Linked DNA regions of Canis lupus familiaris. The protein of the gene in region 1 purifies or fractionates together with the protein of each later gene. This does not show direct contact. Links are inferred from orthologs where the notes say so. Each region holds a gene or a part of one and is shown on either strand. Other genes may lie near its edges.

The links.
Region 2: the proteins of STK25 (region 1) and PPP2R1B purify together in Homo sapiens (affinity purification with mass spectrometry; 3 studies listed by BioGRID and IntAct, with this or other methods). This does not show direct contact. The link is inferred for Canis lupus familiaris from reciprocal best matches to the Homo sapiens genes STK25 and PPP2R1B.

Annotation. Positions count from the first base shown.
Region 1 is NC_049246.1:51,483,037-51,486,385, reverse strand, and holds the end of STK25 (serine/threonine-protein kinase 25), read left to right. Parts: intron 1-156; coding exon 157-302; intron 303-483; coding exon 484-598; intron 599-761; coding exon 762-833; intron 834-1,076; exon of another isoform or gene 1,077-2,026; coding exon 2,027-2,163; exon of another isoform or gene 2,164-2,285; coding exon 2,286-2,325; 3' UTR 2,326-2,706; downstream 2,707-3,349. Other genes in the region: FARP2 (FERM, ARHGEF and pleckstrin domain-containing protein 2), read right to left, coding at 3,094-3,163, 3,347-3,349. UniProt on the Homo sapiens protein: Oxidant stress-activated serine/threonine kinase that may play a role in the response to environmental stress.
Region 2 is NC_049226.1:21,363,867-21,367,522, forward strand, and holds part of PPP2R1B (serine/threonine-protein phosphatase 2A 65 kDa regulatory subunit A beta isoform), read left to right. Parts: intron 1-3,200; coding exon 3,201-3,356; intron 3,357-3,565; coding exon 3,566-3,656. UniProt on the Homo sapiens protein: The PR65 subunit of protein phosphatase 2A serves as a scaffolding molecule to coordinate the assembly of the catalytic subunit and a variable regulatory B subunit.

The DNA.
Region 1 (3,349 bases):
GCGGCGGGGCTCCAGGGGACAGCCCCACGGGGTTCCCCGAGCCCCGCCTCACAGGGCGTGGGGCCTGCACGTGGAGCACGGTCGCGGGGGAAGGGCCCCGGGAGCAGCGGGTGCGGCCGTCCCTGGCGCCTGGTGACCGCATCCTCTCCCCGGCAGCGGCCCACCGCCAAGGAGCTCCTGAAGCACAAGTTCATCACGCGCTACACCAGGAAGACCTCCTTCCTCACCGAGCTCATCGACCGCTACAAGCGCTGGAAGTCGGAGGGGCACGGCGAGGAGTCGAGCTCCGAGGACTCTGACATGTAGGGGCCCCTACGGCGGGCGCGCCCCCGCAGCCCTGGGCGTTGTGCCGTGGGCACCAGGCGGGCCTCCTTGGCTGAGGGCCATGAGGTTGCCTCCGAGACGCAGGCTGAGCGGGTGTGGGCCTCGGGCTCCCCCGGTCCCAGCCCCGTGGCCCTCACGGCCCTTCACCTTCCACCGTAGCGATGCAGATGCCGAGGACGGGGAGCAAGGTCCCATCTGGACGTTCCCCCCCACCATCCGGCCAAGCCCCCACAGCAAGCTGCACAAGGGGACGGCCCTGCACGGCCCCCAGAAGGTCTGACCTGGCGCGGGGAGGTGGGGGGGCTGCGTTCGGGGGGTGGCAGGCACCCTGGCGTGTGTGCTTCCACAGGGGGCACAGGTGGGGAGGGAGCACGCCTGCCGCCTGGGCGCGCTCTGCCCTCTCCCCTGCCCACCCTGCCGTGGCTTTGACTTCACAGTCCGCGGAGCCTGTCAAGAGGCAGCCGAGGTCCCAGTGCCTGTCCACGCTGGTCCGGCCTGTCTTCGGAGAGGTGAGGGCCGGCGTGGGGGTCGCCGGGGCAGAGGGCAGTGGTGCTTCTCTGCAGGTACTCCCCTCGGTGTCCCCTCAAGGGTCACGGTGACGTGCGCCGGCCAGCACCCCTCGGGGCCCACGGTGGTCAGGCCGGGATCTGGGGGCCAGGCCTTCTGAGCAAGGGAGCAGAAGGGGTTGCGACCACCCCGAGTGCTCAGCCTCCTGGGGGCCGGTGGGGGTCTCAGGATGACTGAACAAAAACTGTGTTTTGTGACCTTTTATTTTGAATTGCAGACACACGGGATGGTCCTGTTTAGGGAGCCTGGGAGGTTGAGTTCTTGGAGTTGGGTATCAGGCCCAGGGCGGGGAGGCCCCGAGGGTGACTCCCCTACGTGCCCCCTGCTGATGGGTGCTTGCTGACGCCCCAGGAATACAATGTAGCCAGGTGCCCGCACTCCCCACCCCAGGTGATGGCAGCCCCTGGAGCCCCAGGAGGGAAGATGGGACACTGAGTGCCTTTCCGAGACACGGGGTGGGGGGATCTGGGTTCAGGCAGGAGAGCTCCCACCTCTGGGGGCCTGTGGGGCGAGGGAGGAGGTCAGAGGGGAGCAGGTGACGAGCTGGACTGTCAGGGGGCTCAGCTGTGTGCTTCAATGGCCTGGGGCAGGTGCCCACGCCAGGATGCTCTGGGACAGGTGGGGGGATGGCTTCATCCCGCTTGTCGGGTGCACCCGCTGTGGCCTCTGTGGGCTGGGCCTGCAGTTGAGGCTGCTGGGGGGCGTCCTAGGGGCCTCCTGGAGATGCACAGGCTCTTTCCCCTTTTGTTTCTGGAGTGTGACACGGGCTTGACCTGACTGCTACCTGTCAGGTCAGCTGGAGGGCATGGACCCTCCGTGGGCTTCTCGAGGCCCGGGTGGTGGGGAGGCCGAGCCTGACCTGGCTGTGGGGACCTCAGGGCTTCTGGGAGGGTTTCTCGAGCAGCGGACCTCCGCCGTGGCCTCTGCGGCCCGCAGTTGGGAGGAAGCCTGGGTGGCCCGGCCCGCCACTAACAGGCCGCCCTGCCATGGGGACAGGTGGGACTCGGCCAGCCCAGCTTTGTGGTGGGAGGGCTGTTAGGGCCCCTGGCGCCTGGGCTCCTGCACATGCAGCACATGCACGTGGCGGCGAGGGCCCGTGGGCGGAGCTCACGGGAGGCGGGTGCTGTCTTTGCAGCTCAAGGAGAAGCACAAGCAGAGCGGCGGGGGCGTGGGGGCACTGGAAGAGCTGGAGAATGCCTTCAGCCTGGCGGAGGAGTCCTGTCCTGGCATCTCGGACAAGCTGATGGCGCACCTGGTGGAGCGCGTGCAGAGGTGAGGCCTGGGGCGGCCGTGGGGGTCCGTCCCCAGAGGCCGGGCTCAGGGAGTGGCGCCCGGACCCCCACGCCGGCTGCCTCCCACCCGGCCAACTCTCCAGGCCTCCGTCCTCTCCGCAGGTTTTCCCACAACAGAAACCACCTGACGTCAACCCGCTGAGGCCTGCCGCTGCCTGAGGAGAGCCGGGAGGAGGGGCTGGCGTGGAGCTCCGCGGTCCGGCTGCCTCGGCCCCAGTCCCCGCTCCTGCGCTCGGCCACCCCTGCCTCCTGCAGCACAGCGTCAGGGGAGCCACCGCCGGACGGAGCAGCGGAGGCTGTCGGGCCCATCTGTCCCCCGGGCCCGCGGCGGCCGTGCTGGCCGTAGGTTTGCCTTGTGTCAATCAGGTACCGTGTCTCCTCCTAAGTACTCGGATCAGCCAGGACTTTTTTTTTTTTTTTTTTAAAGAAAACGGACTTCTCGCTTCCCCGACGTTCTGAGGTTGAGGTGTTTTCATAGAACATGGAGAGGCTCCTGCCACCTTCAATAAAGACCTGAATCGGAGCGATGCTGGCGGCGGGTGGGGCCCAGTTCCTGGCTTGAGTCCTCGTCGTGGCCCGCAGCGACCGCGTGGCCCGCGGGCAGGAGGGCGGGGAGGAGCCCTGTCTCGGGCTGCACAGCCGGCCGTTAGCAAACAAATAACAGTGTGTGTGTCCGTTTACGTCAGTTTATTAGGAAACCCTGGGGAGCCAGAACTGAGAGGCCCGCGGGGTGCGGCCGGCACCGCATGGCTCCTGTTGTCTGTCCTCCGCGGGCGCCGCCCCGGGAGAGGGGAGGGCGTGGCTCGGACACTCCCTGGCCGGTGCCTCCGTGGCCCTTAGGACACGCAGTCAGGGACGCGCTGACCCCGCTCTGCTTGCTCGTCTGGGTCCTCGTCGGGCAGGACGGGCTTCATGCTGCTGCCTCGGAAGGCCCGGCCCGCGCAGGCGAGCTACTGGCGCGCTCGATCACCTCCATCCACCTGGGGAAGGGGTCGGACGTCAGAGCTCCCGAGGCGCTCACGTGGAGTCGGGGACGCGCTGGGCGGCCAGTGGCCAGCTGCCAGTTTCTTCCCAAGGACACCCCCAAACATGGGGAGAACCCTGGAAGCAGCGCCGTCCTCCCGCGCCCTCGGCAGCAGACCCCGCCGCCGGCCCAGGCTTACCTC
Region 2 (3,656 bases), on another chromosome or scaffold:
GGTTCAGAGGAATCAGCCCCCAGAGTTTCTGGACTCTAGAAGAATCCTTTTAGAGTCTTAATTTGCCTAGTGTGTACCCTAGAATCACTTCACATGTATAGGACCAGGAGCACCAGATACGTACTGATGAGTGTCATTTTCAGATTCAAGATTGAGAGATGGTAAATTTTGCTTTCAAAATAATTTAAAAATGTTATTAAAATAACAGAAAAGAGTACAAAATATACAATTCAATGAATAAGATAAAGTCATCTTATTAGCAAACGGAACTTGGAGAGCCACTACCCTAGAAGCCCACCACAAGCTCCCTCCCAAACATAGTCACACTCTGCCTGCTTCGGATAATACTTTATCTTGACTTTCCTGGTAACCACCTCCTGCTTCTCTTTGTAATGTTTTTACTTAAACATTGTAGGTTAATTTTAAGTTAAACTTCATTTTAAGTTTTCTAGTAGTCACATTTTAAAAAGTAAACAGTGGGAAATTAATTTTAATAATTCATTTTACTTAACCCAATATTTCCAAAATAATCCTCACTTGAACATGTGACACTAACCATACTTCATTTACTCAGAAGCCACATGTGGGGTTGTGGTTACCACATTGGACAGCATAGGTTTAGAATCTTCGTTTAGGAATTTGTTGATTATGCTTCTCATGGTATAATTTAATATTTCCTTTGTCCTCTGTATTTCCTGCAAATTGATAGTTGCATCTAGTATGGGGGAGGAGGGTTTGCAAACTTTTTCTATAAAAAGCCAGGTAGTAAATATTTTTAGCTTTGTGGACCAGTTTCTGTTGTAACTACTCAACTCTGCTCTTGTAACACAAAAGCACTATAATGTGTAAACTAATGGGCATCATGTTCCCATAACACTTTATTTACATAAGGTAGCTACAGTCCTGGATTTAGGCAGTGTTTGTCCCATCTCTGATCTAGAGGCTTAATAAGATTTAGATTTGATATTTTTGGGTGTTAAGACCACTTCATATGTGGGATTGTATTTTTTGTTAAGAGACATATAATTTCTAGTTGTGATATATTAGAAAAAATACTAAGTGCCTAGTTGTCAAATTATGTGTATGTATATTCCATCTGACACTGATAGAATTGCTGTTCCCGGCTTATTCATTCATTGAAAAAATATTTATTGAGTATCTGCTACATATTAGGCACTGTTGTGGTGCCGGGATACAAAGGCCCTTCTGTCATGGAGTGTACATTTTGATGAAGGAAAACAGATAGTAAACAGATAAAAAAAAAAAGCATTAACAACGATAAAGGCTATGATGAAAATAAAGTAGGATGATGTAATATGGAATGATTATAGGGCATTCATCTAGCTAGACTGGTTAGAGAAGGACTCTGAGAAGGTAATATAAACTGAGACACAGAAGAAAATGCCAGCCATGCCCTTTCCTAGAAAGCCAGAGCTCCAGGAAAAGAGAATTCCAGGAGAGGACACCTAGCCTTGGAACATAGTGGGTGATAGAGACTCTGGTAGGCTATGAGGTTGGATAAGATAGGGGACATATCACAGGGGTCCTAGTTTACATTTTAAAAATAATATTCTGGCTTCTGAGTGAAAGCCGAATTGTAAGGGGTAAGGGTGAGATTACAAATAGAAAGACCAGTTAGGAGACTTCTGCAATAATTCAGACAAGACGCCATGATGAACAAGGGTGGTACAGTGAAGGCGCAGAGAATCTAGAGGCAGATTTAGAGGTAGCATCATTAGGATTACAGTGGGATTGCGTGGGATGAGGGGAAGAGCAATCAAGGAGACCTTGATTTTTGGCTTGAGCCCATACTGTCTGGATGGTGGTGCTGAGATGGAGAAGATTTTGGGAGGAGGAGCAGGTATAGAGGGGAAAAGGGATTAACAAATATTTATTAGTATATATTTCCATAGATCATAGTAGTCCCTTGATTTAACATTGTTTTTGGATTCCAAAAATATTTGTATAGTTACTACCAAGAACCAAGTTCTAGCCTTTTTTGGCTTATTCATTTGGATAGAGGAGTGAGTGTTCTGGGCATATAGTAAATTATTGTTGACCAGCAATTTAAAAAATTTGTAATATTTTGGAAAGTTGAGTCACTATCTCTCTTGTGTAGATGTATGTGTATGTTGTACATAAAAAATACATAATCATATATAGACACATGCTGTTCAAGGTTTTGGTCTGTCTCTCTTGGGTGCTTATCTTGACGTATTTTTAGCTTCTACTTACATATTTATGATTCCTAAAGCTTTAATCTCAATTCATAATTCTTCATTGATTTGTCTAATTGAGTATTTCTACTTGCTCAGGGACACATAGGCATCACATTGAAACTTGGCAGTTTATATTTAGGACATTGAGTTCATTCATCTTATACATTTCTAAATTTGTTTTGCTGAATTTTTCTAGGCTTGGCTACCTCAGTTATTCTGTCCCTGATTCTTAACATTGAAATCCAGTGGATGGTGGGTTTTTTTTTTTTTTTTTTAAATTACTATTTTGTTTTTCTGTGTATTTCTTTCCAAGTCATCATGTCATGCCTACTATCACTGCCAGTGCAAATGGAGAATTTTGACAACTTAGCTTCCTGTCCCTTACCCTTATTCTCTTGTTTTTCTTGTGAGGTGTTGAATAGTTTGCTCAAGTATAGTTGTCATTTTTTTTTAATCCCTCAACAGTTTATTATAGGAAGGCCTTGAAGATATCATTAAAATGTTCTTTTTTTTAAATTTAATTTTTACATTTTTATTTCATTTTCCTTAATAAAAATTTTGCACTCTAACCAAGGGAATCACCTTACTTTCACACTAGAACAAGGTTGTTTCTACGTCTATGGATTTGTTATGCAAAGTCTGTTTCAAGACATAAAGACATGAAGCTGTGTAGAGTGTTTTGTTTCGTTTCTTTTGAAGGACACCCATAGCACTGCCCTGTGCCACGCATGCTCTACTGCCCTGTGGCTCTGCCTCAGTCTTGTCTGATTAACAGAAAGAAATTTCTTTTGTAAGAGATTTTATTTATTCATGAGAGACACAGAGAGAAGCAGAGACCTAGGTAGAGGGAGAAGCAGACTTTTCACAGGAAGCCCGATGGGAGACTCGATTCGATCCCGGGATCACGCCTTGAGCCAAAGGCAGACGCTCAACCACTGAGCCACCCAGGTGTCCCAACAGAAAGAAATTTTCTTCCTGTAGGATTCAGTGCGTCTCCTAGCTGTGGAAGCCTGTGTCAGCATTGCTCAGTTACTGTCTCAGGAGGACCTCGAGTCTTTGGTGATGCCTACGCTTCGGCAAGCAGCAGAAGATAAATCTTGGAGGGTCCGCTACATGGTAGCTGATAAGTTTTCAGAGGTAAAATTACTGTCCTGACGTTTTTTAAGTACTAAGAGAAAAAAAATCTTGAAACCCACAGATTTGCTGTGTACCAAAAGTTTCTGAATTAATTCTTCTGAATTGGAAGTGCTTGTAGCAAGAACGTACTTGAAGGTTACACTGTTTTGTTTCATTCATGTTAGTTAACTTGTTAGTTTACATTAAAACCTGTACAAATTGTCTTCTAGCTCCAGAAAGCTGTGGGCCCTAAAATCACCCTACACGACCTCATCCCTGCCTTTCAGAACCTACTTAAAGACTGTGAAGCTGAAGTCCGAG